Linked DNA regions of Oryza sativa Japonica Group. The protein of the gene in region 4 binds, or shares a complex with, the protein of the main gene of each other region. Links are inferred from orthologs where the notes say so. Each region holds a gene or a part of one and is shown on either strand. Other genes may lie near its edges. The genes, in order: U1 small nuclear ribonucleoprotein 70 kDa, serine/arginine-rich splicing factor SR45a, SNW/SKI-interacting protein A-like, suppressor of mec-8 and unc-52 protein homolog 2, heterogeneous nuclear ribonucleoprotein 1 and serine/arginine-rich SC35-like splicing factor SCL28.

Region 1 (4,236 bases), on a different chromosome or scaffold from region 4:
TAACAGCTCAGGGAAAGTAACATAAACACTGTACTCACCAGCAACCTAATAAATCCCAGAATGTAGAAACCCCATGCCTGCAGATAAGCTGCTTTTAAAAGCATAAAGTGATCTAAGCTTACTTGTGCCATCGCCAACATTCTTCAAGCTTGTTTGCTCCAGTTAATACACACGAGAAGCAAGTTCATAGAATGGGAAAACAAATGATACATTGTGCCTACTGCAGAAGCAAATGGTTTGATCTTTTCCGAGAGTAAAAGGGAAAAGATGTTCTAAGAAAAAAAAACATCAAGGCTGCATGCAGTAAAAATACCTGCTTGTGTGTATTTGTATTTCCCAGGATTTTTTAGTCTTCTAATGGTTGTACCAACCATTCGCACATTAAATTGCTCAACAGTAACTCAGATAATATGTCTAACAAAAATTACCAGAAGACATAATTTCTGCTGGAGCTCTATATTACTTATCCACTAAGTACATCAACAGAGCCCACATGTTTAGAAATGGATAACAAAGAAAAGACTGTCCGAACCACCCAAACCAATACATGTCAATACAAGATAAAAGTGTTATTTAAATAATTTGAGAAGATTATTTGGTTATTTTCTCCTTGGTTTAGCAAAATGCAACCAACATCATTATTGAGAAGCAAACAGCAAATGCATGCTTACACACAAAACAGTGAATGTATTGCCCAACTTGAAAATGAGAGTGCTATGAATACTGTTTGACAAAAACAAGAAGTTATTTTTGTTTGCTGCAAAAAAAAAGACTTGACAGAATAACTTATTTTTGTTCTTTACAAAAAAGAAGACTTCACAGCATTTTGTTTGATTTAGAAACAAATACTACAGACAATTCTGCCCATTGAAAATCGGAGAGAGATAGAAGATATCCCTTTCATCCTTTAGCACCTTGTTGTGAAATTCCAAGTAAGCAATATATAATGGCAGTGAACCAGCTTTTTCTTAAAACATGTTTTTGTAGATGAATTAGAACAACCAAACACCTTACCAAAGAGGAATAAGTCCACCTGCACTGGAATTTACCACATGTACTTACCCTTTTAATAGGCCCATAAGCTTCAAACTCCCGCTTGACCCTATGCTCAGACGTCTCATAGTTCTGTAAACGTTTGCTGGAGTCAATAGGAAGTAACATACAAAAATAATACCAACTATGTAGTTCAAAATAATTTGTGAATGATGCAACAAAAAAACTTACAAGTCTTGCAACAAAGAGTGTTTTGTATGGATCTCCAGTGGCATTGGGGTCACTCTGTGGGTCATCTACATTAAGAAACCACACCAATGATGTTATCAGTATCTATCATATGATACAAAGGGAAGAGCAGCTAAGAAAGAACTTACATTTCTGAAGCTCTTCAGCCACCTTAGCCGCACCTTGGTCAAGCTTACTTTTGCGGATCCTATCCTTCTTTTCAGCCTGCGTAAATAAAACATAATCACCAAGTCATGACCTGGAATGATGAAATGACAATAGGCACGAATAATACAGTAGATCTAGAAACAATAACAGACATGGAAAAAAAAAGAGTAAAGCCAGTAGTGCCAACAAAAAGCTGCGTATTTGACATAGTCACATACAATTACCAGAAGAAGAATTTTGGCAAACAAATGTTTGGACAGCTACACATGTCTTATTTTGAGAGAGTTTTCATGTGGTGAAAGTGGAAATATTCATCTCAGAGGTGGGAACATTTGACTCCAACTCTTACCTCGCAATTTCAGGTAGAACTTATTGGACCTAATTTTCCTGTGCTGACTATAGTGGAACAATGCTCAAACAGTCAAATTGTGAGTGACTTTCCAGCAGGTGTAGTCATAGAAGCTCACATACTAATACTAACAGTCTTAAGAAATCCTGATTGTTCAGAGACCAGCAAGCGTTCTGACACCATTACAAATAATTGATTTTGTCGATTGAAAAAAGCAACTATATGGTTGTGGAAACTATGCAATATGGTTATGGCCACACGAAAAGTATACCATTGGCATAAATACGACATGGTCACGACAACATAAGAAGTAGGAACATCTTGCACTACGGAGACATAAAACAAAATGCAACACTAACGATTGCGCTTCAAACGAGTTAAAATTGATACAGAAAACAAATTTGCAGCAGTATCAGTATACCTTGGTCTCGCATGTGGGGACGGGTGGCGCGTACTCAGGGTCACCGGGCTCCGCAAACTGCGACACGAACTGCGCCATCCCTGCAACCAACCAATCAACAACAAGAGTGAGTCCATCCATCAGGAAGCAACTCATCCACAAAATAAATCTAACAGACAAAATTAAAAGAAAAAAATATATTCATAATCCCCCTAGAACCGAACAGATAGAATAGAAGATGAGGCGGGTGAGGGAATATACCAGTGTAGGCCGGCAACTTGCGCTTCTCGACGGGCGGCTTGAAGTCGAGCGGCGGGCGGGGCTCGAAGAGCTTGAGCAGGTTGGGGGTGAGGCCCGTCGGGTGTCCCTGCCCCATCTGTGGTCGCGAGCCATGGAGAGAGATCTCAGATCGAGGCGGATCCGGAGAGGAGCTAGGGTTATAGCAGCTAGGGTTTAGGGGGGGGGTGGGGGCTTACCAGCTTGAGCTGCTGCACGTTGACGCGCTGGCCCTTGGTGCGGGACTGCATCCCGCCGCCGTCCGGGTTCCCCCGCATCATCCCGCTGCCGTAGTCGCCCATGGCCGCGGCGCCGGCGGTGGCGGCGGCGGCGCGAGGAGAGAGAGAGAGAGAGAAGCGAGAGGGATTTGCGATTCGCGAAGCGTTGGGGGATCTCTCTTTCTCTCTCTCGGGATATTAGGGGAGGAGAGAGAGAAGTAAAAAGAGGGGGAAGCCGAGACGGAAGAATTTTATGTGGGGCCCACACGTCAGCGCCCTCTCGCACGGGCCCATGCGTCGGTGACTTAGTGTATGCTTTTGCTGCCTGAGCGTTGCAGGGATCTTTGCTGCCGCTATTGAATCACGGGGGCTATAATCGTGTGTCACATTTTTTATAAATAGTAAAATGCCCGTGCTAACGCTACGGCGATATTTGATGATGCAAATCCCTTCTCTACTATTATAAAAATTGAAGATGTTTTCGTTAGAATTTTGGTACATCATCTGTATTGGAATAGGTTTTAATTTTATGTTTCTATTAAATCATACGCGTACGAAGTAATTAGGCATGCACCTTTTTACGTGCCCCTTGCCGCTTGCAGACCTGCGCCTGAGTTCATTTTCCACATACGCCTCTGTGCTCCTCTGCGATTGGGCCCGCAACACCCTCACGCGTGATTTTTCGCATGCCTGATTGGGCCCGTGACGTCCTCTTAAATCTACCCTATTAGCATATAAGCACTTTAAGGGAAAAAAAACGAGATTCCCACTTGATTTAATCTTTGGTAAAAAAAATACAAATTCCTACTTGATTTGATCTTATCAGGCCTTTATTTACCTGCATGATATCATCAGGCTTCCATTTACCTATATCTTCTTCAAGTTTATTGGACAACCTGATTGCAATTAAACGGCATATATTTTAGTTGTGGTAATTAAGAATTAACATTTAGTTACCAAACGTCCATCATTGATATTATTTGGATGCAAATCGACGCACATACCTCATGAGCACATGGGAATGAGGATATGAAGAGGAGCGCTGCTATAGACCTAGGGATGAAATGCTCCAATAACAAATGGTATAAGCACAGCAGAGCCATAATATATAGAACTGGCCATCGTTCCATTTTACTGCCTAACGATAGGTTGAAGGCTAGCAAGCCAAGGAAGGCTATATACCTCTCAGTTCTGACAACTACCTTTTCATGAACTCGTGGGCTTTTTTAAGCTAAACCTCAGAAGACAATAGGGAAAGCCTGTTTTTCATCTAAGAATAAAAGACTTGGCCTATTATTTTAGAAAAATTGGACCAAAAAACTCACAAACACTTGCCCATGAACCTGTCGGCTAAATATTGTAGTGTAAACTTATCTGCTGCAAGCAGCTTTGGAGTAAATCTACCCTATCCTAAACCTTTCTTACATGCATATTGTTAGTTTGTACCAAGCACAAGAAAATAAATCACTCACTTTAAAACCATCTCAAAATTACATATATGCCCACTTTCATCCATTAAAGGCATAGCTGCAACTTATAAATCTGAACTGTACATATATGTGTCAACCATGAGTTTACAATCGAAAGGGGAAAGAATGGAAAAA
Region 2 (4,180 bases), on a different chromosome or scaffold from region 4:
TTATTCTACTTTATATCATGTCCTACTTGCATTAAACCTAGCAATATGTTTTGTAGTTTAATTGGATACGCCATATGCGGCTTCATCTTTTCTCTTATGCTTATGCTTATCAGCTAAAATTTGAATTTTCAACCTTAAATTTGAAGCTAGTTTTAGAGTTTTTTATTGAAGTTTATTTTTCAGCATTTACTTTTAGGTCGCTAAGAACACGTATATAAATGCTTTATTCACAAATTACTTATTGTTTGTAAATGTGTCGTTTGGCTTATTCCAAGAATAAGCCAACCAATGGGGGTGCGATTTGGATGGAGATAGCATTTCATAACTCGATAATTACTCTGACAAATAGAACAGCTAAAGCAAAATCAATCAACCATTCTTTTTATTATTATTATTTTCCTATGTTGAGGTTCACACATAGAATTTTTCATTTGTAAAAGGACACACCATTTAACAGTTCGGAAAGCGTGCGCACATAAAACAAAGATTTGAAGTTGGGAAAGGGAAGAACCAAACACACCCTTAGGCCCCGTTTAGTTCCAAAAATATCAAATCGAATATTTGGACACATGTATGGAGCATTAAATGTAGATTAAAAGAAAAACTAATTACACAGTTAGGGGGGAAATCGTGAGATGAATCTTTTGAGTCTAATTAGTCCATGATTAGCCATAAGTGCTACAGTAACCCACATGTGCTAATGGTGGATTAATTAGACTCAAAAGATTCGTCTCGCGATTTCCAAGCGAGTTATGAAATTAGTTTTTTCATTCATGTCCGAAAACCCCTTTCGACATCCGGTCAAACGTCCGACGTGACACCCAAAAAATTTCATTCCGCGAACTAAACATGCCCTAATATTTGTAACATAGATGAACAATACAATTGTAAGACACATAAGGATTGTAACTCTTATATTTTCATTAAAATCTCTGTTGGGGGTGTCCATTTTATAGAAATTTTACAGGGGAGTATAGGATTGAATTATTTGTTTAAAAAAAACTCGTTAGAATTATCATTATAATTAAAATGCTCTAATTTTCTATAGGACCAAAAGAGGTCTAGGCTGTGTGTTTAGTTCTACACTAAAATTAGAAGTTTGGTTAAAACTGAAAGTTTAAAGAAAAAAAATTAAAAGTTTATATTTGTAAAAATTTTTGATGTAATGAAAAAATTGGAAGTTTGAAGAAAAAGTTGGAAAGTAAACCAAACCCTGAAGGGAAACTTTTATTTACTGCAAACCGAAAGAAAAACCAATGGCTCCAAGAAGCGCCATGTGTGAAGGCGTGAAGAGGAAGGCGGAGTTCGTGCGCGCAACCGATTCATCAACCAGATTTGAGAAACTTTCGCGTCCGCCTCCGTCCAGAACCTTCCCCATTCCACACTTCCATTTATTCTCCCAACCGCACGCGCTCCGACGCGCAGAAAGGCAGCGCCGTGACTGAGAACAAGAGAGGCCGGCACAGAGAGACGCTCTCGGCTAGGGCACGGATCGTCGCGACGAAGGAAGGTATTATTGCTGCCTCTGATTCTCCTCATGTTTTATCTCTGCTAAAGACGGTGAATCCGTTCGTTCTCTGTTCCAGTATGGCGATGGTTTGCCCCTCTGATCTGTATAAAAACATCCGTTTATATTTATTTATTTTTGTTATTCTTAATCTATATAAAGATAAATCCTAGCTGTAGTTCGAAGCGTTGCGGCAGGAGTTCCCCATCTTGGATAGCGGCTCATTTGTTAAAATGATCTGATTTGCGTGTATTTGCTTTGCAAAAGAAGAGGTATAGATTGCTAGTACATGGGTTTCTAGAGGGGCACGAAATGAAGAAATGAAGGGAACAAATTGTTGTACAACTTGTGGCATAATCATTTTTTGTCCATTGTATATGTAGTTTGAAACGCAACTGTCGAAAGTTCGAAACTTGCATAGTGCCCCTACATGCCTCGGAGGAAACTTAGGGACAGTGTTAGGAAGTCGATTTATCTTAGGGACTGTATGGTTGGAAGCTTCAATTGCTGAGCGCAATTGCATAAGTTATAGTTCATGATTACCATGCTGAAAATAAACAAAGAATCTCCTGTCTTGCAGTTTCTTGTTCATTTCGTTATGTTGGTTTGTGGATTATTTTTGGCGTGCGCTAGGTATATACTCTGGGTCATCTCTTCATTCTGAAGATAATAATTTTGTTTTGCAAAATATCTTACTGATTGGCATATTGTCACCAAGGTGTCATAAATTAATCAGTTACAACTTCAAAAGGCTATGAACCCACTGTTTGTTATAATTACATTTTCAAGTGGCATCTCATGTTTTTGTATATATTTGTTTCTCTAGTGGATATTGATGCAATCATATGTCTATCTTGCAGATGTCGTACTCCAGAGGATCAAGGTACGCATTACCAAACTTAATTTTTTTCCACATTTTTTGAAGCCCTGTCTTGTGATTATTGATTGGCTCCTACTGATAGATATGAGTCCGACTCATATTCTACATCGCCCAGACGGAGCAGCCGTTCAAGGTATAGGAGTCGTTCTAGGTATGGTATTTATCTTAGCGCTTAGTATGTTTCTGCCTTCACTCTATATTCGAGGGTGAACATTTTTGCCTACTGTAATTCTGATGAGTATGTGATATCCTTTTGATGTCTTTAGAAGTGTGGACTCAAGTGATGTTGAAAACCCTGGGAACAACCTGTATGTTACTGGCTTATCTGCTCGTGTGACAGATCGAGATCTGGAGAAACACTTTTCTGCTGAGGGAGAGGTAACCTTTATAGAGTATCTGCAAAGGGATACCAAAATAGTGTACAACTTTTTAAGCTCACCGTATTACAGGTTATTGATGCTAGCATAGTACTTGATCCATGGACAAGGGAATCCCGGGGATTTGGATTTGTTACCATGGCTACTGTTAAGGAGGCTGATCTTTGCATCAAATATCTAGACCGCTCAGTGTTGGAAGGTCGTGTGATAACTGTAGAGAAGGTATAATCACAATATATTTACTGAATTTCTTCACTTCTACTTGGAGTGAAATTTATATGCTCATTTAGCTTGCTGAGCTGAATATTTGAGTGCTCTTCCGTTTGAAGCTTTTGTTGACAGCAGCAGGGTAGATGTCCGTTGCTGCTCTACGTCAAATTCAAAAGATTTACAACCTAACAGCCAAACATGCTACCTCAACCAAAGGGTTGTATGCCCTACATTATATAGTCTCCATATTAATCATGTCGTTCAGATTCCCAATTTGTTGCATCACTCTTTAATGCTAATATGGCGAAAAGGCTTATTTGAATCCTTTCCACAGGCCAAGAGAAGACGTGGTCGAACACCAACGCCCGGAAGGTATCTAGGCACAAAATCATCATGTGGTAAGTTTGATTTAACTGCTGCTGTGTCTGGATGGTTTGGTCTCATTTCTCTGGAAAATAGGAAGCATTGCTAGCCTTTCCTGATATAATACAACTGATTGCTGAATATTTTTTATTATACAGTGACACCAGCACGGAGGTATTCCCCAAGCTACTCGCCTGTTGAAAGAGACCGCTACAGTTCACGCTACTCACCTGAGCGAGAACGGTCTTATTCTCCTTATGGTAGAAGGCGATCATATTCTCCATACAACAGGCGAAGATCATACTCCCCCTATGAGAGGCGTAGATCCTACTCTCCACATGAAAGGAGACAGTCCTACTCTCCGTATGGCAGATCCCCTTCTCCTTATGGTAGACGGCGATCATACTCTCCCTATGACACACGTGGTTCACGGCGTCGGTCATACTCATCTTACCGTGGTTCCCGCTACCGTTCAAGATCTCCATACCGTTACAGAAGAGAGAGGTCATGTTCCTATGACCATTCTGTTTCACCATACTATAGAAGGTGCTATTCTCCAAGTGCTAGAGGACGGAGCTATTCTCGCAGTGTATCACCTCAGAGGAGCTACTCCCATAGCTGTTCCCCGGATTCTCAGAGGTCAGGGAGCTATTCTCCAAGGAAAAGATACAGTGAAAGGAAACCGTCGCGCAGCAGGTCGTCGGGTAAGAGGCATTCTAGGGAGAGCTACTCTCACAGCCGCAGTTCCTACTCAAGGTCTGTCTCCAGGGAGCGCTCAGAATGAATTGAAGCTTGATGTTCTAGAGATCAATAAAGCTCTCTATGCCTAAGTGTATGTCTGTA
Region 3 (4,162 bases), on a different chromosome or scaffold from region 4:
ACAAGAAAACGTGCTAATGAAAACTTTCCTCTTCACTGTGTTCCTAATTTCCTATAGCTGAATCTGCATACCTGAAGAAAAACACAACACTATGGCTGAATCTACATAACTAAAGGAAAAGACAAAACAAACTGAAAGTGTGTATCTGTTCAGATTCTAATACTAAGATATATCATATCATGTATTAAGTTTATTTATTTTAGGATGGATAGTGTTTTAAAATTATGCCATGATCTTACCAGTAATAATCACAAAAGAGAAGTTATTTAATCCGAAAGTTGGTACTACAGAAACCACATCAACTGCAAGCAAAGGGAATGCTCCGGCAAAGTCTTGCAACAGAAAATGCTTACCGACAAAAAATTTTCGAAGAATTCACTATTTGCACAAAACATGAATATCCCCAAAACAACATACCGATATTGGCAATACCCAGAAATCCATCCAGCCAACAATCATGGTAGCATGAAATAATTAGAACTTGTGAAAAAACAGAACACGGAATTTATATGTATCCCGTGTCTCAGTATTTCAGCCAGATAGGCAGATACATCTTAAAGACTTGGTACAGTACCAGAAAATGTAAGGTCAGCCAGACACATCGAGACTTCATAAAGCACCACAAAATATAAGGGATATGGAATGATGATAAGTTAAGCTTACAGATCCATCCACAAATAGATAAACAACAAGCATAATCACAGGATCTAAACAGGTACACTCCTTAAGATGCCCCTTGGAAGTAGACGTTGCATTAAGACAACTCAGACATCAAGTCCTCTCATCAAGAAGTTGATATTCTCAACAGAATACCCTCCAGATAACATTTGGAATGCATGGAGAAACTTCTGAACAAAACATGCAGATCTAATACCTCAACGACCTCTTTCAAAGTTAATGCGGGACCTCCCAGATCCTCCACCCTCGTAATCATCTCTCATTGAGGATCCACCACTTGCCCTCATGGCTCCTCCGCTTCCAATCTTCTCAACAGCTTTCTTCCCCTTCTTCACTTCAGTCAAGAACTGATCAAGACCGAAGGGATCATTCTCCTCCTGTTTATCAAACTCCACAGGTCTGTCTCTCTTTCCAGACCTCTCTGAAGCACCAGAAAATCCTTTGTCTGGTTTGAACCTATCTGTCTTCATAACCTTCTCCAGTTGTTCATCTGCATCGCCATACACATCAGAATCACCGTCCTTCTTAGGCCTGTAAAGTGTGGATAGCGTTGGCTGCGCTGTGAAGAGACCCTTGGAGTAGATGTTATACTGATCATCTGTAGCAAACCCAGAGTCCATTCCTTTATCCTGGTTGAACAACCTCTGGTCATACATGACTTCCCCACCTTTAGCACCGCCAGTGCTTGCCATGCCCAGGGCAATCTTCTCACTGACATCACGATCCCTGTCTCTAGTGAGCTTACTCTTCTTGCCCATTGCAGCATCCCTGGCCTCCAGCCTCCTCTCTCTCTCCCTCTCACGTCTCCTCTCCTCACGAATCCTGTCACGCTCAATCCTTGCTTCCCTTTCTTCTCTACTCTCCCTTCGTTGCTCACGAGGCTGCTCCAAATCCATATCTTCCTCCCTGTCATCAACAGCACCTCTACCACCACCAGCAGGAACCCCTGTAGGTGCAGGTGGGGCACCAGTCCTCTCCATGCGCGCCTTCTGTGCAAGTGCCCTTAGCTCTTGCTCCTTCCTCTCCTTCTCCTTCAGCTGCAGCTCCCTCTGCACCTTGGATCGCATCTGTACTGCCTCCCTGGCCTTCTGCTCCGCCACATACAGTGCTTCAGAGAGCTTTGCAAAGTTATCATTAATTTGAACCTCCTGCAGCCCCCTTCCATCAGCTGCCAACCTCTTGTCGAGTGGTATGGTGTAACCCTTTGGATTTTTCCAATTTGAAATGCATGGTGGAATCTTCCAATCTTGCTGGTCCTTCACTGTCACTGGCCGTGGTGGCGAGTGCATCACTGGGACAGGCGGTGATCCAGAAGCGCGGGGCACTCGCTTATGCTTGAATTTCGGTGGCTCAAGAGGATCCTGAGCCATCTCTGACATCCTAATAATCCTCTCCTTGGCACCTGAATTGAAGGCTGCCGATTGCTGCGATGGCTTATACTTGATAAACTTTGACTCTGAATCATGCGTCGGCACATTCTTGGGCTGTGCGGCGGAGAGCCGAACATTGACAACCTTCTCCAAGGCAGCTTTAGTTCGTTCAGTGGTTTCTTCGATCTGTTTCTGGTACTCCTCGTCGTCCGCGGTTGCCTCGGAATCAGCCGTGGCAATCTTGGGCACGAGGTCGCTGTGCTTTGAGTAAACGATCTTAGAGGCGTTCTCACCCTGCTTCACGACGGCGTCGAAGGCGACGCTGCCCTTGGCGTCGACGGTGAGCGCGAGGATCTTCGAGCCGCCCTTCTCGTCGCGCCGGCCCATGCCGAGCGGGTACTGCGCGACGTGGATCTCCGGGAAGGCGCCGCCGTCCCCGAAGTCCTCCGGCCGCCGCGGCACGAACCCGCCACGCTTCCCGTACGGCGGCACGGGCTTGGCGGGGCCCGAAGGCTTCGCCGCCGCCGCCGCCGCGTCGGATTGCGCCGACTCCCCGCCATACCGCTCCTTGAACCACGGGTCGCTGCTGTGGTCGTAGAACGTCGACGCCGCCGCCTTGGGCGTCGGGAGGAGCTCCTTGAGGGACGCCATGGCTAGCACGGCGGCAAGCCGCGCGGGATCTAGGGCTAGGGTTCCGGCGAGTCGCTGGGTGGGGGATCGGGAATCGAAGAGGAAAAGCTAGGGTTTGGTTCGATTCGTGTAATTATTTGGGCAACGCGATAAGAGAAGCTGACCACGGTGGCCGGTGGGGTTATGGCGGCTACCGGATGGGCTAGGCCCGATAAGAATTTGGGCTGGGCCGATAAATATGCACCAAATCCTTAGCCAATCCGAAGCAAATACCATCGTGTCTGAGACTTCTAGTCCGAAACAAAATAATTCCTTGGGCTGGAAACTATTAATACTGGTGATGATGATAACTGGGTTGAATCCTGAGAGGATAGGAAAGAGGGGATTGAGAAGATACGCAAAATAAGGTGAGGTGAGCCATTAGTGTATTATTAATTGAGTATTAACTATTGTAAGTTTTAAAAATAGATTAATATGATTTTTTAAAACAACTTTTCAAAAGAATTTTTTTTTGCCAAAAACGCATCGTTTAGTAGTTTGGGAAGTGTGCGCGTAGAAAAGTAGATGTTTTCTCCTCAATCTCCCAGCAATCTCTCCTGCTCGAACGGAGCCATGCTTGTCTGCACGGGTAATGGCTACTCCCTCCGTCTCATAAAAAACCAACATAGTACTTCCTAGTACAATAAATCTGGACATACATATGTCCAGATTCGTTCTACTAGGATATGTCACATTCTATATTTTAGATTTATTTTTTTTTGGACGGAGTGAGTAACGAGTAACGAGGCTACGGTATTAACGGCTCGGAATGTTTGCCTGTTTGTTTAACGAGAATAAATGAGACTGACAAGTGGGCCCATTAATTTCGCTTGCTAACACGAGTTTAATCTGCCAATTTGGGCTCCACATGACACACATTGTCACCACCCAGCCAGGCCCACGCGCGTGGTCGGTGAAAATGCTAGGCCTACTTACTGTGCCAGCCCAAATTATCCTACTAAGTACAACGTAAGGAAGCGGGCTGGAGACCGGACGGAATGGTATACCTGCAGTACTGGGCCTTCTCAAAGGCCGTGTTACCAGCCGACAAAATTTTTGGTCCACTAGAAAATGTTACCCCAAATGTTAATGTATTATCCCAGGAAAAAGAGAAAGTGCCTATGTAATGTGTCAGTTCTATGGTTGGCTAGCGAATGAAAATCTGCCGTACTAAAATAAATAGAAAATATTTTATGGACTTGGAAAAAATGGTGGCGTGGAAGTACCCAGACAACTCGATCTAAATGGGCAGCACATACTACTCCACATGTACTACGGACACTATCAATTTGTTTGTATTTTAACAGGCCAAAATCTTCTAGAATACGAATTATGCTACAGTTAAATTGCATGGTACAGGACTACAGTTACAGGGAGTATAATTGTACCAGAAAAAGAAGAATGAAAATGAAAGTAGATCCATCCAAAGAATGCGAAACCACACC
Region 4 (4,010 bases):
GGTCTACAAAAGAAGATCAAGCAGTCTCATTCCGCACTGCAGCTGCAAAGGTAGGTTTCCTTTTAATTTACAATAGAATTGATGTTGGCTGCTTATATTATTGACCATGTAATGTAATGTAACATGGACACTAAAAGCAGTTCTTGGTTCATTGCAGTCTGTCTATCAATGGATCATAAAGCCACAAAGCATCATAAAGTCGAATGAAATGTTTCTTCCTGGTCGGATGGCATTTATTTACAACATGGTACCTCCTTCAAAGTTCCCCCTTATGTTAATTACATTTTTTTTGTAATTGGTGGTGGCCATTTTCCTTCATAATATGATACTACAATATATTATTTTATTTTCATCTCTCATCAGGATTCATCTGTACGAAACATGATGCTGCTATGTTGCAAATAAACGTTATTGCTATTTCAATTTCGAATTTTTCAATTCTGTGCTAGCATGTAAATGATAACATGCTTATGTTTTGTCAGCTTTTATAGTATACATGATGCATGACTATGTTTCATGATGTATTATTGTTTGTTTCTCTGCTCATCACCTGGAATGCAGTACAATCAACATGCTCAAACTCTCACTTCACTCCACAATATGCAAACAAGAGAAGAAATAAAGGAAGGATGAAAGAACTCTTCAAATATCATACTTATAGACTATAGTATAGTATTGCGGTTACATGTGTCTGGTGCAATGATTTTTATGTCATGCACATTTAAATTGTGATTGCGATGCATCATGGCTTCAATGATTACTAATATACAGTATGTTCACTATGACCATGATCCATCTTACAAGTCAGAAATCATCACTAGATCATATTTTGTATGCATAATGTTTTCATTTAATGGATTTAACCTTCCAAATGATTTTCTGATAATAAGAGTAAAGGTGTTCGCATTGCCTATTATTGTGGCATGTCCAGTACTATTGATTTATGCTATTTGCAAATAATTTTTTTCATCATTCCCTGCTTTGATTTGAACTACGGGTTTTAGCTGGAGAGTGATTAATTTCATTAATGAAACCAGGAGGATGGACTTACCAATGATATTCCGACAACACTTCACAGGAGCAAAGCTGATTGCTCTGTTCCAGAGGTATTATGGCAATACATCATATGCCACATTGAAGTTTCCTGAAATTTATTATTTTCCTCAGTATTCTTCTTGCTTATGCAGGAGATGGTAACTGTCAGTGTGGATGGTTCTGTACTTGATAGGATTGCTAAAATCATGTCATACCTTCGACTTGGATCATCTGGGAAAGTCTTGAAGAAAAAGAAAAAGGAGAGGGACACAAAAGGTATGTTACTTGAAAATTAAAATGGATTTTGTGCAGTGGAAGTTGACTGAAAAACTAAGTGACATTAGGAAAATGTTCTTGGTTAAGATAATATGTGAAATACGCTGAAATGATTTGTTTGGAAGCTGATACTTGCATTGTGAAAAAAAGAAAAGAAAAGTATGATTGGTACTTTTTTCCACAATGGTTGAGTCTTGTTTCAATTGTTTTATAGTCTCACGTCAATAATTTAAGTTTGGGTATTTTAAGTTATGACCATATGTTACACGTTTGTTTTACATTATGAACGAATTAATTAGTTCACTTAATGTATTTGCAATGTATGTACTTTCTCATCCATATCTTCACTTGCTTTGCTCGATGAAGTTAGATATCTTGATTCTTGTTACGCAGGGAAGAACAGTTTAGCAAGTGGTGACTACGATGAGGTAGCTAGACCTGGCCAAACTAATGGGTCTGCTCTGAAACATCAATTTGAAAAGGATATGCCACCGCCGCCACCCCCTCGAAATAATAATTTAAGCAAAAATGAGAAACCGTCTGCTCCAGTTGCTAGAGCAGATGAAGATGACATTTTTGTTGGAGATGGGGTTTACTATTCTGTTCCTAACAAGGAAATGAGCCAGAGCCCTGTCTCTGAAGATATGGATGAGTCCCCACATAACCATCAGAAGCAGTCCTATTTCACTGAAGAGAAACCTATCTATGGGCCCATCCCACCATCTGACCCTGCTCAAGCTTGGCCACAACCGGTAATCCAGCTAATGTTTAACTTTGGTTCCACTGTGTTATGAGCAATTATAGTTATGCGTGTCGAATGTTGGAGACAAACGAAGTGTTTGTTTACAACCTTCTACTGAAATAGCCATTTATTAGCTTGTTCTATTCTTGACCTGTATTTCCTAAAAGTTCTCTTCTGATGTCAGAATGCGTACGATGCTATTCAAGCTCAAATGGTAGCTGCTGGATATCAAGGGGAGTGGTCAGGCTATCAGTATGGCGAACAACAGATGGCTTATCCAGAACAGTACATGCAACAAAGCGCTCAGGACTGTGATGTACTAGCTGATCCAAATATAACCCAGGATCCAAGGTTGATGACTCAAGCAGATAAAGACAGAGGTCTTGGTTCTGTTTTCAAACGCGATGATGAAAGGCTTAAACAGCTGAGGGAGAAAGATGCACGGGAGAAAGATCCTAATTTTATCTCGGATAGTTACTCCGAGTGCTATCCTGGTTATCAGGAGTATAATCATGAGATTGCAGGCAGCGATGAAGAAGATGATTTATCGAAGATGGACATGGGTGGCCGGGTAAGTGAGTACTGTAGTATTCTGTATGCTTTTTTTTTTTTTCGTTTCCCTTCGTTATAGCAGATAAAGTTGCTTTTTAGCCTCTTGTGTGGACTTGATGGACCTGTTTCACCTAGCCTGTTTTAGGGGTTACATAGAATGTGTGGGATGGCACAGTTTGTTGTGTAACCCGTCAGTGGATGTTTTTAGTTTTTTTTCGTCTTTTCCTGTCGCTGAACTGATGCTTTTCCTTAAGAGTAAATTTGGTAAGGGTAGGAGCTGTTTCTCCTCTGTTTCAAAGAAAAAAAAAGATAAACTTGCTTTTGTGGATTTCTTGAGCTCATGTTTTCTATCCATTTTAAAAAACTTAATACTACCTATTTCCAGCTTCATTATAATGTATGATTCCTTTGCAGGCTAAGGGCCGTCTTCACAGGTGGGACTTTGAGACAGAAGAGGAGTGGGCCACATACAACGACCAGAAGGAAGCCATGCCGAAGGCTGCATTCCAGTTTGGGGTGAAGATGCAGGATGGCAGGAAGACGAGGAAGCAGAACAAGGACCAGAAGCTCACGAATGACCTCCACAAAATCAACAAGATACTTGCGAGAAAGAAAGGTGACAAAGATGGAGGGCATGATGGCGGGCATTACGATGATGATATGCCAAGTGGGAAGAAGCAACGTGCCTGATGCTATTAGACACTTATAGTTTATCCTGCGAGAGGTAAAACTGTATTTGTACTAGGAATTACAGTGCCATGAACACCTGACAGTTGTAATGTTCTGCGTTTTGGCCGGTGCAGAAGGGAAAAAGAACGGGATGGCCATGCTTTCGAGCTGAAACAGTGATAATATGTAGCTCATCCATTTTTATAACAGAACAGCCCGTAATTTGCTTTGTTTTACTACGAAAAGAAAAAAACATCGAAAGTCCAATTTTCCATGACAATGTACGCGTTAAGTCATCTGCTAAGCAAATGACGTACTCCGTTACGTTTTGGAAGAACAGTATATGAACTGTTATGGAAGAACAGTAATGTGAACAGGTCAAAAGACATTTTAACTTCCGTTACGTTTTGTCATTACAAAAGAATCACCATTTTACAGAAACTGTGAATGACTGATACTGTCACTCTGTAGTTGATCTATTCCTGTTCTCTGTCAGTAAAAAAAAAAAAGAATCACCGTTTGACAGCAAACTGAGGTGCGTGCGTTAATTACTCCTAACGTGTTAATGCATTGGCTACAGGTCCTAACTAAGCTGTGCTAATTACTGTGTTAATTACTGTGTTAGCGTAGACACAGGTCCTAACTAATATGTGCAGGCTGCCACGAGCTTGAGATACAAATCAAGGTCATGCGATGCAACCACGTTGCGCGCCGTGTCGCCCTGGCTGCAAAGGCG
Region 5 (3,752 bases), on a different chromosome or scaffold from region 4:
GCATCCAACCTGTACAGAAAGGAAATGTACGAGGAAGGATGATTATTTTGCTTGCCAAATGCCTGGAGTATTCTACTCTATGGTTTCTACCTGTATTTCATTCATCAAGTAGTATCACAGACTTCTCTGTATCTATACTACCTTAGAAATTGGCGCTACCAACTTGCTGCTAATATGCTCTTATTGCTTCAGGTAGGGGCTAATTGTTTGCCTCTACTATGCTTGTTTATCCATCTACATACCAAATATCAGAAACATACTCATAGCTCGACCACATACTTTAATGATATATCATTCCAATGACATGAAAAGCACTTGCACTACACCTGAACTTACTGCTAGAAGCAGCTACAGTATAAAACACCTCTATCACTGCATAGAAGTTTGAGGATTGTCATCTGTTACAATCAATATTAATGGAATAATACGCAACAGCACCTTAACTGCAAGGTGAGCTAGAGCACACCACAGAGAAACAACCAAAGATAGAACATTTCAGATTCAGGTAAAGCACAATCCAGCATAAATACTACTGTCAACCACAAACATATGATTCTGTAGAATAAAGGTACAACTAGATAGTTTGTTGTCCATAAGTAGTGAAGCTACTCTAGCTTTAAACTAGAGACGAAGCAACTGAAATTCCACTCATGACAAAGCACACCGACAGATAAGGCTAAACTTAAATAAAGCATTACGCAAGATACAGCTACTCCATAGTATAGCTAGAAGCTAGTTATTGACTACATTCTAGTAGTAAGCCGCAAAAGGTTCAAGCATTCCAACCCGGAGAAATACTGATTTAACCAGCAAATGGGAGATCTTCAAGAGGCCAAAAGCAATCAGAGGGGCCAGGGTAACACAACATACATAGACTGCCCAATTTTGCTGGTTCATCTCATAGATGCTCTAATGGCCTCATTTACTGAGCAACCCTAGGTTGCACACCACCATAACCACTGCCATAATTTGATTGGCCTTCAGACACTCCATTGACTGAAGCCCCAAACCCTCCACCTTGTGAAGGATCAGCCCAAGCATTTGGATAACCAGAACCGCCATTCCCGCTTCCATAGCCAGCACCATACCCAGATCCACCGCCAGCAGCTGGATTGCCAGCACCATCTCCCCTTCCTCCATAACCCCCATATCCACCATGATTACCATACGATGCATCTCCTCCATATCCACCATATCCATAGCCCTGGCTCCCATAGCCTGTGCCTGCACCAGCGGCCTGACTAGTGGGTGCATTACCTCCAGCAGAAGAGTTGTTCCAAGCAGCATAGCCTGCATTGCCACCATAACTCCCAGTGCCATAACCAGACGGAGCTTGACCACCCCATGGTCCTCTGTTTGCTCCTGGAGGACCACCCTGGTAACCTGAACCAGGCGCATTTGGATTGCCATAATGCCCACCATACCCAGCAGGAACACCTCCAAATCCTCCAGCCCCATAATTCCCATACGCAGTTCCAGGGTTAGCATGCCCATATCCATAACCAACCGTACCAGCACCATATCCTCCAGCACCATAACCGGGATAACCACCACTACCCTGCTGCGCCTGACCATACCTGCTAGCGTCACCTCTGCTATCATAGCCCCCAGAATTGGAGTTCGGCCCATTGTTACTCTGGTAACCCCCACCGCCGCCTCCCATGGAACGGCCACCACTGCCGGAGCCAGGGTTGGCCTCCCTGGGCAGGGCGCGCTTCACCTCCACCATCTTCCCGCTCAGGTCATGGAAGGTCTTGTGCAGCACGCGGTCAACGGCGTCCTCCGCGTCGAAGGTGATGAACCCGAACCCCCTCGGCCGCTGCGTGTTCTGGTCGTACATGACGACGACGTCGGTGACGACCCCGTAGGTCTGGAAGTACTGCCGGAACTCGTCCTCCGTCAGGTTGGAGGGCAGCCCGCCGACGAAGATCTTCTTCGTCCGCGCACCGCCGGCGTCACCACCGCCGCCACCACCACCACCACCGGCGCCTCCCCCACCACCGCCCCCACCGGAGGCGTGCCTCCCCCCCGCGCTAGGGTTCGCCGCCTTCGCGGCCTGCTGCTCCTCCCGCGAGAGCGCCCGCTTCACATCAACCTACGAAACCGAACCGAACCGAACCTTGAGAGGAGGGAATCCAACGCGAATATTCGCTAGGGTTTGAGAGGGGATACCGTGCGGCCGTCGAGGGTGTGGGGGTCGACGAGGGCGGCGTCGACGGAGGAAGGGTCGGAGAAGACGACGAAGCCGAAGCCGCGGGGGCGGCCGGTGAGCTTGTCGCGCATGACGGCGGCCTGGGAGACGTCGCCGTAGGCGGCGAAGTGGTCGCGGAGCTTCTCCTCGGTGGTCTCCCACGAGATGCCGCCGATGAACAGCTTCCCCTGATCCGACTCCATCTCCTCCCTCCGCCGCTGCTCTCACCTTCTCTCCTTCCTCTCGCTCGCGCGCCTCGGATTCTCTCGCGACGCGAGGAGGAGGAGGAGGCGGGGGTGGAATTTGGGGGATTTCGGCGTCGGGGAGGGGAGGTGGGGGGCGGAGATTTGGAGGGTTTGGGGATATTTTAGGGCGCGTCGTGTGGGGGGTGGGGACGTGGGGGAGACGGGTTATTTTTGTTCTTCTCTGTGGGCTTCTTTTTTGGGGTTTTTTTTTTTTGTTCTTTCTATGGGCCGAATTTGGTGCGAGCTTGTAGGAACTCGAATTTTTTTTATTTTTAATTTTTTTTATTAAAAGTTTTACAAAAAATAATTTTTCATTTTGAAAATTGACAGAAGTGGTCGCCTACCGCCCTCTGGGAGGGCGATTTTTAAAAATCGCCATCCCAGAGGGCGGCGAAAGTGACGTGGCAGACGGCCGTTCGCTCTCGGGCGACGGCCGTCAACGAAATTTGTAGGCGGCCCCCTTGCCGCCCTCCGCTAGGGCGATTTTGTACTGTGCGGGGGGCCGCCTGCAAATGGGCGGCGGGGGGCCTGGAATTTTGCAGGCGGCCCCCTTGCCGCCCTGGGGGAGGGCGAATTTATACTGTGCTTTATATTTTTTATAAATATCAATAGTTATCAAATCTTTTTATATTGAAAACTATACAAGATTAAAATCTCCAAGACTGGTAAAATACAATTTTATTATTTTTTAGGGCCTATTTGGAATGTTACCGTACAAATATTTTGTTAGTGCCAAAATATAAGCAAGTTTTGGCACTACCAAATATTTGGTAAGGTAAAATTGCATTTGATCATATTTGGTTTGCTGCCAAAATGTAAAATTGTAGTGAAGAATGTTCTACATAATCTCAAATCTAGATTACGTATTACCAATGAATAGGCTTCAATCGAAATCAAACACAAGTACTATTCAAATTACCAAAATATTGGTAGGGCATGTTTTTGGTAGCAATCCAAATAGGCCCTTAGTCTTACGCATACAAAAAATCACCACCATAATTAAACATTGTAATGATAAGATAGATAAGAAGTGCCATCGATACACGGTACAAATTTGTCGATCCCGACGAATCAAGCATGCGGTAACCTATCGGCACCTTCTAGGTCGGTCAGAATGCATTGCATTCTCGTGGTCCTTCAATCGTTGATACTCTACTTGTGTTTCTGACTATGTTATCTTCTGGCCATGATATGATGGAGTGACATTGTCGATCCATCGAGTAAATCCACCCATCCTTGGATTGCCCTGTAAAAATAGTAATGTTATTCAGTTTGGGTAGTAATTTTGTGCAAATCATAGCGGATTTTGTAAATGG
Region 6 (4,143 bases), on a different chromosome or scaffold from region 4:
AGAGATGTTTGAAAGGAAAAAGAGTGAAACACTGACAAACAGGAGAGGACAAGCGTATTTGCTATGCTATATGTAAATACTAAAATATTGAGATGATACCTGTAGTCACGTCTAGCTGGAGAGGGTGAAGGTGAATAAGCTGACAGGAAATAGAGATCATTTAGTGATGAGATTAAAAATCATAAAATATTAACTCATATAACAAACATTTATACTTACAATGGTAACGAGACCTTGGAGATCTTGATACTGACCGCCTTCTGTGGCTACCATCCATGTATCTTCCACTACACAGACAGAAGCACAAAGCATTTCTTTTGTTACATCAAATTCCAGTCGCTGCTATCATATATATTCCAAATGCCTAATCTGGAAGTTGGTAAAATATAAAAAATTAAGCACCTTGTTCTTGTCCTCATCCGCATTTCTTGTGGGGTTTTTCTGTTCTCCTCGGCAAAAACTATTGAAATCTCTCGTCCACCAATAACTTGATGATTCAATTCTTGCTTGGCCACTGCAGCATCTTCTGGATAGCGGAATTTTACAAACCCAAAGCCACGTAATTCCCTACAACAATTTAACACGATCATGGAAGTGATTGTGAATCAGACAAAATCAATATACACATCAAAAGACATTCTTAAAAGAACACAGAATGTGCAACAAGCATCTATAAACCCTATTTCCAAGCAGAATACATGGTTCAGACCAACATCAAAGCACAAGCATAAGGCAGCCTGGAAACAAATGCTCTTTGAAATGTTCATAATAATGATAAAAATTACTGGGTTCAATTAACGCAATTTCTTCATGTTGTTCAAAGAATTGCTTATCTTCTGTGCAACATGATAAACGTTCCAGAATTAAGATATTGACTTAACTAGAACTCAAATGCACCAAAACAATTGTGTAAGAAACATAAGATAAGTTATTATTACCTTGTATGGAAATTTCTTGGAAGGTAGACATCCTTTACAGGGCCAAATTGCTCAAACGGAATACGAATATCTTCAGGCCTGCAAAAAACGAAAATCAAATAATATTAAACCATAATTAGTAGCTACAGTGCAAAATCATCTACATACAAAAAGAAGATACTTCAGTATGTGATTGTGGAAAGCTGTATATAAGAATGATTTACTGTGCACTGGCTACTTATGTACTACATGCTTGCAGTGTAGAAAATGTTGACTTAAAAAAAAGATCCTGAGCGTTCCAAACTATCGAGAAGGGAACCTAGAACAGTAGCATTATGTCTCCAAACTACAAGATCTGAATTATCAAAGGTTGCAACCACTGTCTATATACAAATATGAATACATCCAGAGTTCATACATTTGTTTTTGTTTTCCAGAGACATAAGCAGCATTATATGATGCAAAGTTCATAAAACAACGGTTCTGCTAACAAAGCCATATCTAAAAGAACTAGATTAATTCTAGGAACACTTAAAGGAACACAATTTAGTGCTTACAATTTAGCCTCTACCGAAATAAAACTTCATAATAGATCTGAAAAATGTTCCATCTCAATATATGCAGTTAAAATCCAACCTGACACTTGAGTTGTTAAAACCTGGTAACAAGACATTTGGGTGAAAGCTTGGATGATACAAAAAAATGCAAGAGAAATGCTAATCCACATATGTGGACATCCATGCACTGTTGTATCTGCCTGTTTGGGGGAGCTTTAGATTATGAGAAGCAGCTGTTTGGTAGCCAGCTTCTGAGAATCTGGAAAAGCTCTGAAACCCAGCTTCTCCAGCTTATGGCTTCTTAGTTCATTTTTCAGAACTACAGATTCTCAGAAGCTGTGGACTGTTTGGGGCAGCTTCTAGCAGAAGCAGCTTTTGGGAAAAGCTGCAGCTGGGACAAGCTCCCCAAACAGGGCCTAAAGTGCTAGGAAATTTTTAATGTACAATAAGAGCTATTTGAAGATGGGAATTCTGGTTTGCATGTCTAACTGATGCATGAATCTCAAGGCACTCTGTACAGATGAACATCCAATGCGCAAAACCATTAGAAAAATGCATTAGGTTACTAAGGTAGGGTATGGAATATGGAAGCTACCTATACCAACATGTTCAACCTTAGTGAATGGCTTCCAAAACATTTGTTCTCTCCTAGAGAGCAACAAGTGTGAAACAGCCCACTACCATGAGTCCAGCAAGCATTTGCTGGCATACAAACTATCAGGAAAAAAACCGTCGTATTTTCTCAACAGTTCCACATCAAAACAAACCTGCTCTGTTTTTTATTCTGAATACAGCAACAAATAAAAACACATATAAGACTGAAAAGCACAGAAGCACACAACCAAGCCTAATGCAACTACCAAACAAAACAATGTGCAGATTCACAGGGATTACACACTGAACGTATCAACCAAACCACATAGCGCTGTGCTACTAGCAATTATTCAAATTGCGGTAAGCCCTAGATCAAATGGGCAAAAAAAAAATAATAATCCAAAGAGGGCAACGGCTACGCACCTTGCGGTGAGCGAGATGTTGCGGACGAGGAGCCCGGTCGGCGCAGGCGGCCGGCCATACCCGCGGCGGGGCCCTTCGCCTCCACCTCCACCTCCACCTCCGCCGCGAGGATAGCGGTCGCGCGGGTCATCGTACCGCTTGTACCGCGGGGGGCTCCGGCTGTACCTCCGGCGCGGCTGCGGGCTGTAGCTCCGGCTCCGGCTCCGGTACCCGGCCATCGCCGCCGACTCGCCGCGACCCGGCCTAGGGTTTCTCTGAGGTTTGGATTTTTTTTTCTTTCTGTCGACGAAGGCTTGGGCGAGGAGAGGTGACGATGCAGCACGGCACGGGGCGCTTTTATCTAGGAGAACTCGAAGGCCCATGGGCCCATGGGCCAGCGGCCCATCTGACCCGCCTCCAAGCCTGGAAAAGTCTTCGTAGGCAAACCTGGCCGCGGCCACCGTGACACACTTGACACTCCTCGCGCCGCCGCCGCCGCCGCCACGATGCTGCGGCCGGTGCGTCATTCCGTGCAGCGCCTCTGCTCCACCTCCACCTCCGCCGCCGCCGCTGCTGCCGACGCCAACAACCCGCCGCCGGCCACCTTCCTGGCCGCGGCCGCCACGGCCGCGGCGAACATCCTCGGCGCGGCGCGCTACGAGTCCCGCCTCCTCTCGCTCCTCCCCGGCGACCTCCTCTTCCACCCGGCCTGCGTCCGCCTCACCCTCTCCCACCTCCTGCCTTCCCCTGACCCCTCCCTCCGCTTCCTGCGCTTCCTCTCCTCGCACCTCCCCGCCGCCCCCGACGCCGCACCGGCGGAGCCCGAGCACGAGCACGAGCACGAGCCGCCGCTCCTCCCCGGCGTGGACGGCTTCCTGATCCAGCTCTGGCCGCCCGACGCCGCCGACGCCGCCGAGGTGCTCGCCTCACGCCTCGGCATCCACCCCTCCCTCCGCGCCCTCAACTTCGCGATGCGCTCCGCCCTCCGCGCCGCGCGCCCCGACCTCGTCTTCCGCCTCTTCTCCGCGTTCTCATCCTCCCCGGACTTCCCGGGCGACGCCGCCACCGTGGCCTTCCTCGTGCGCGCCTGCTCCGCCGAGGGCCGTCCGCTCGACGGCCTCCGCCTCCTCCGCGACGGGGCTCGCCGCGGCGTCCCTCCCCAGCTTGACGCCGTTGCGGATCTCGTCGCGGCCTTCTCCGCCGCCGCCAACTTCGGCAAGGTGTCCGAGACGCTCCACCTCATGATCGCCGCGGGAAGTGTCCCAGATACGGTCATCTACCAGCGCATTATCCACGGGCTTTTCGCGCACAAGATGGGAAGCGAGGCCCTGCGAGTCTTCAACGAGATCAAGCTGCGGGGCTACAACGTCGATGCGGTCACATACACAACGGCGATCGACGGATTGTGCAAGATGGGCTGCATAGACGAAGCGCGGCAAATCTGGAATGAGATGGTGGACAAAGGAATGGAGCCTAACGAGTATGCCTACTGCTCTCTGGTGGCCTACTATTGTAAAGCTGGTGATTTCGAGATGGCTCGCAAGGTGTATGATGAAATGCTCGGGAAGGGTTTAAAGGAGAGTACAGTCAGCTGTAACATTTTGGTCACAGGGTTTTGTACCCATGGGAGGGTGGACGAAGCGCTTGGGATGTTTGAGGAAATGGTTAAAAAG

Evidence for each region.
Region 1: suppressor of mec-8 and unc-52 protein homolog 2 (region 4) and U1 small nuclear ribonucleoprotein 70 kDa share a complex: the UniProt entries of both Arabidopsis thaliana proteins name them as parts of the spliceosome. The link is inferred for Oryza sativa Japonica Group from reciprocal best matches to the Arabidopsis thaliana genes SMU2 and U1-70K.
Region 2: suppressor of mec-8 and unc-52 protein homolog 2 (region 4) and serine/arginine-rich splicing factor SR45a share a complex: the UniProt entries of both Arabidopsis thaliana proteins name them as parts of the spliceosome. The link is inferred for Oryza sativa Japonica Group from reciprocal best matches to the Arabidopsis thaliana genes SMU2 and SR45a.
Region 3: suppressor of mec-8 and unc-52 protein homolog 2 (region 4) and SNW/SKI-interacting protein A-like share a complex: the UniProt entries of both Arabidopsis thaliana proteins name them as parts of the spliceosome. The link is inferred for Oryza sativa Japonica Group from reciprocal best matches to the Arabidopsis thaliana genes SMU2 and SKIP.
Region 5: suppressor of mec-8 and unc-52 protein homolog 2 (region 4) and heterogeneous nuclear ribonucleoprotein 1 share a complex: the UniProt entries of both Arabidopsis thaliana proteins name them as parts of the spliceosome. The link is inferred for Oryza sativa Japonica Group from reciprocal best matches to the Arabidopsis thaliana genes SMU2 and AT4G14300.
Region 6: suppressor of mec-8 and unc-52 protein homolog 2 (region 4) and serine/arginine-rich SC35-like splicing factor SCL28 share a complex: the UniProt entries of both Arabidopsis thaliana proteins name them as parts of the spliceosome. The link is inferred for Oryza sativa Japonica Group from reciprocal best matches to the Arabidopsis thaliana genes SMU2 and SCL28.

Annotation. Positions count from the first base shown.
Region 1 is NC_089044.1:1,015,679-1,019,914, forward strand, and holds the start of U1 small nuclear ribonucleoprotein 70 kDa, read right to left. Parts: upstream 2,801-4,236; 5' UTR 2,717-2,800; coding exon 2,615-2,716; intron 2,515-2,614; coding exon 2,400-2,514; intron 2,240-2,399; coding exon 2,160-2,239; intron 1,447-2,159; coding exon 1,371-1,446; intron 1,290-1,370; coding exon 1,225-1,289; intron 1,126-1,224; coding exon 1,063-1,125; intron 1-1,062. UniProt on the Arabidopsis thaliana protein: Mediates the splicing of pre-mRNA by binding to the loop I region of U1-snRNA.
Region 2 is NC_089037.1:8,817,989-8,822,168, reverse strand, and holds the start of serine/arginine-rich splicing factor SR45a, read left to right. Parts: upstream 1-1,380; 5' UTR 1,381-1,510; intron 1,511-2,367; coding exon 2,368-2,390; intron 2,391-2,469; coding exon 2,470-2,538; intron 2,539-2,653; coding exon 2,654-2,765; intron 2,766-2,836; coding exon 2,837-2,986; intron 2,987-3,093; exon of another isoform or gene 3,094-3,191; intron 3,192-3,308; coding exon 3,309-3,372; intron 3,373-3,495; coding exon 3,496-4,121; 3' UTR 4,122-4,180. UniProt on the Arabidopsis thaliana protein: Probable splicing factor involved in constitutive and/or alternative splicing events. May bridge the 5' and 3' components of the spliceosome.
Region 3 is NC_089036.1:32,490,198-32,494,359, forward strand, and holds SNW/SKI-interacting protein A-like, read right to left. Parts: upstream 2,801-4,162; 5' UTR 2,700-2,800; coding exon 876-2,699; 3' UTR 444-875; downstream 1-443. UniProt on the Arabidopsis thaliana protein: Splicing factor involved in post-transcriptional regulation of circadian clock and flowering time genes. Associates with the pre-mRNA of PRR7, PRR9, ELF3 and GI, and is necessary for the regulation of their alternative splicing and mRNA maturation.
Region 4 is NC_089045.1:2,156,834-2,160,843, reverse strand, and holds the end of suppressor of mec-8 and unc-52 protein homolog 2, read left to right. Parts: intron 1-1; coding exon 2-50; intron 51-157; coding exon 158-247; intron 248-1,037; coding exon 1,038-1,106; intron 1,107-1,187; coding exon 1,188-1,311; intron 1,312-1,704; coding exon 1,705-2,063; intron 2,064-2,237; coding exon 2,238-2,624; intron 2,625-3,019; coding exon 3,020-3,295; 3' UTR 3,296-3,510; downstream 3,511-4,010. Other genes in the region: phospholipase A(1) DAD1, chloroplastic, read right to left, coding at 3,918-4,010. UniProt on the Arabidopsis thaliana protein: Auxiliary spliceosomal protein involved in splicing of specific pre-mRNAs that affect multiple aspects of development.
Region 5 is NC_089044.1:18,096,319-18,100,070, reverse strand, and holds heterogeneous nuclear ribonucleoprotein 1, read right to left. Parts: upstream 2,510-3,752; 5' UTR 2,395-2,509; coding exon 2,173-2,394; intron 2,096-2,172; coding exon 923-2,095; 3' UTR 501-922; downstream 1-500. UniProt on the Arabidopsis thaliana protein: Involved with pre-mRNA processing. Forms complexes (ribonucleosomes) with at least 20 other different hnRNP and heterogeneous nuclear RNA in the nucleus.
Region 6 is NC_089037.1:14,526,512-14,530,654, reverse strand, and holds the start of serine/arginine-rich SC35-like splicing factor SCL28, read right to left. Parts: upstream 2,801-4,143; 5' UTR 2,710-2,800; coding exon 2,492-2,709; intron 1,017-2,491; coding exon 939-1,016; intron 568-938; coding exon 403-567; intron 288-402; coding exon 220-287; intron 140-219; coding exon 100-139; intron 1-99. Other genes in the region: pentatricopeptide repeat-containing protein At5g18950, read left to right, coding at 2,977-4,143. UniProt on the Arabidopsis thaliana protein: Involved in intron recognition and spliceosome assembly. Probably active at the 5' splice sites.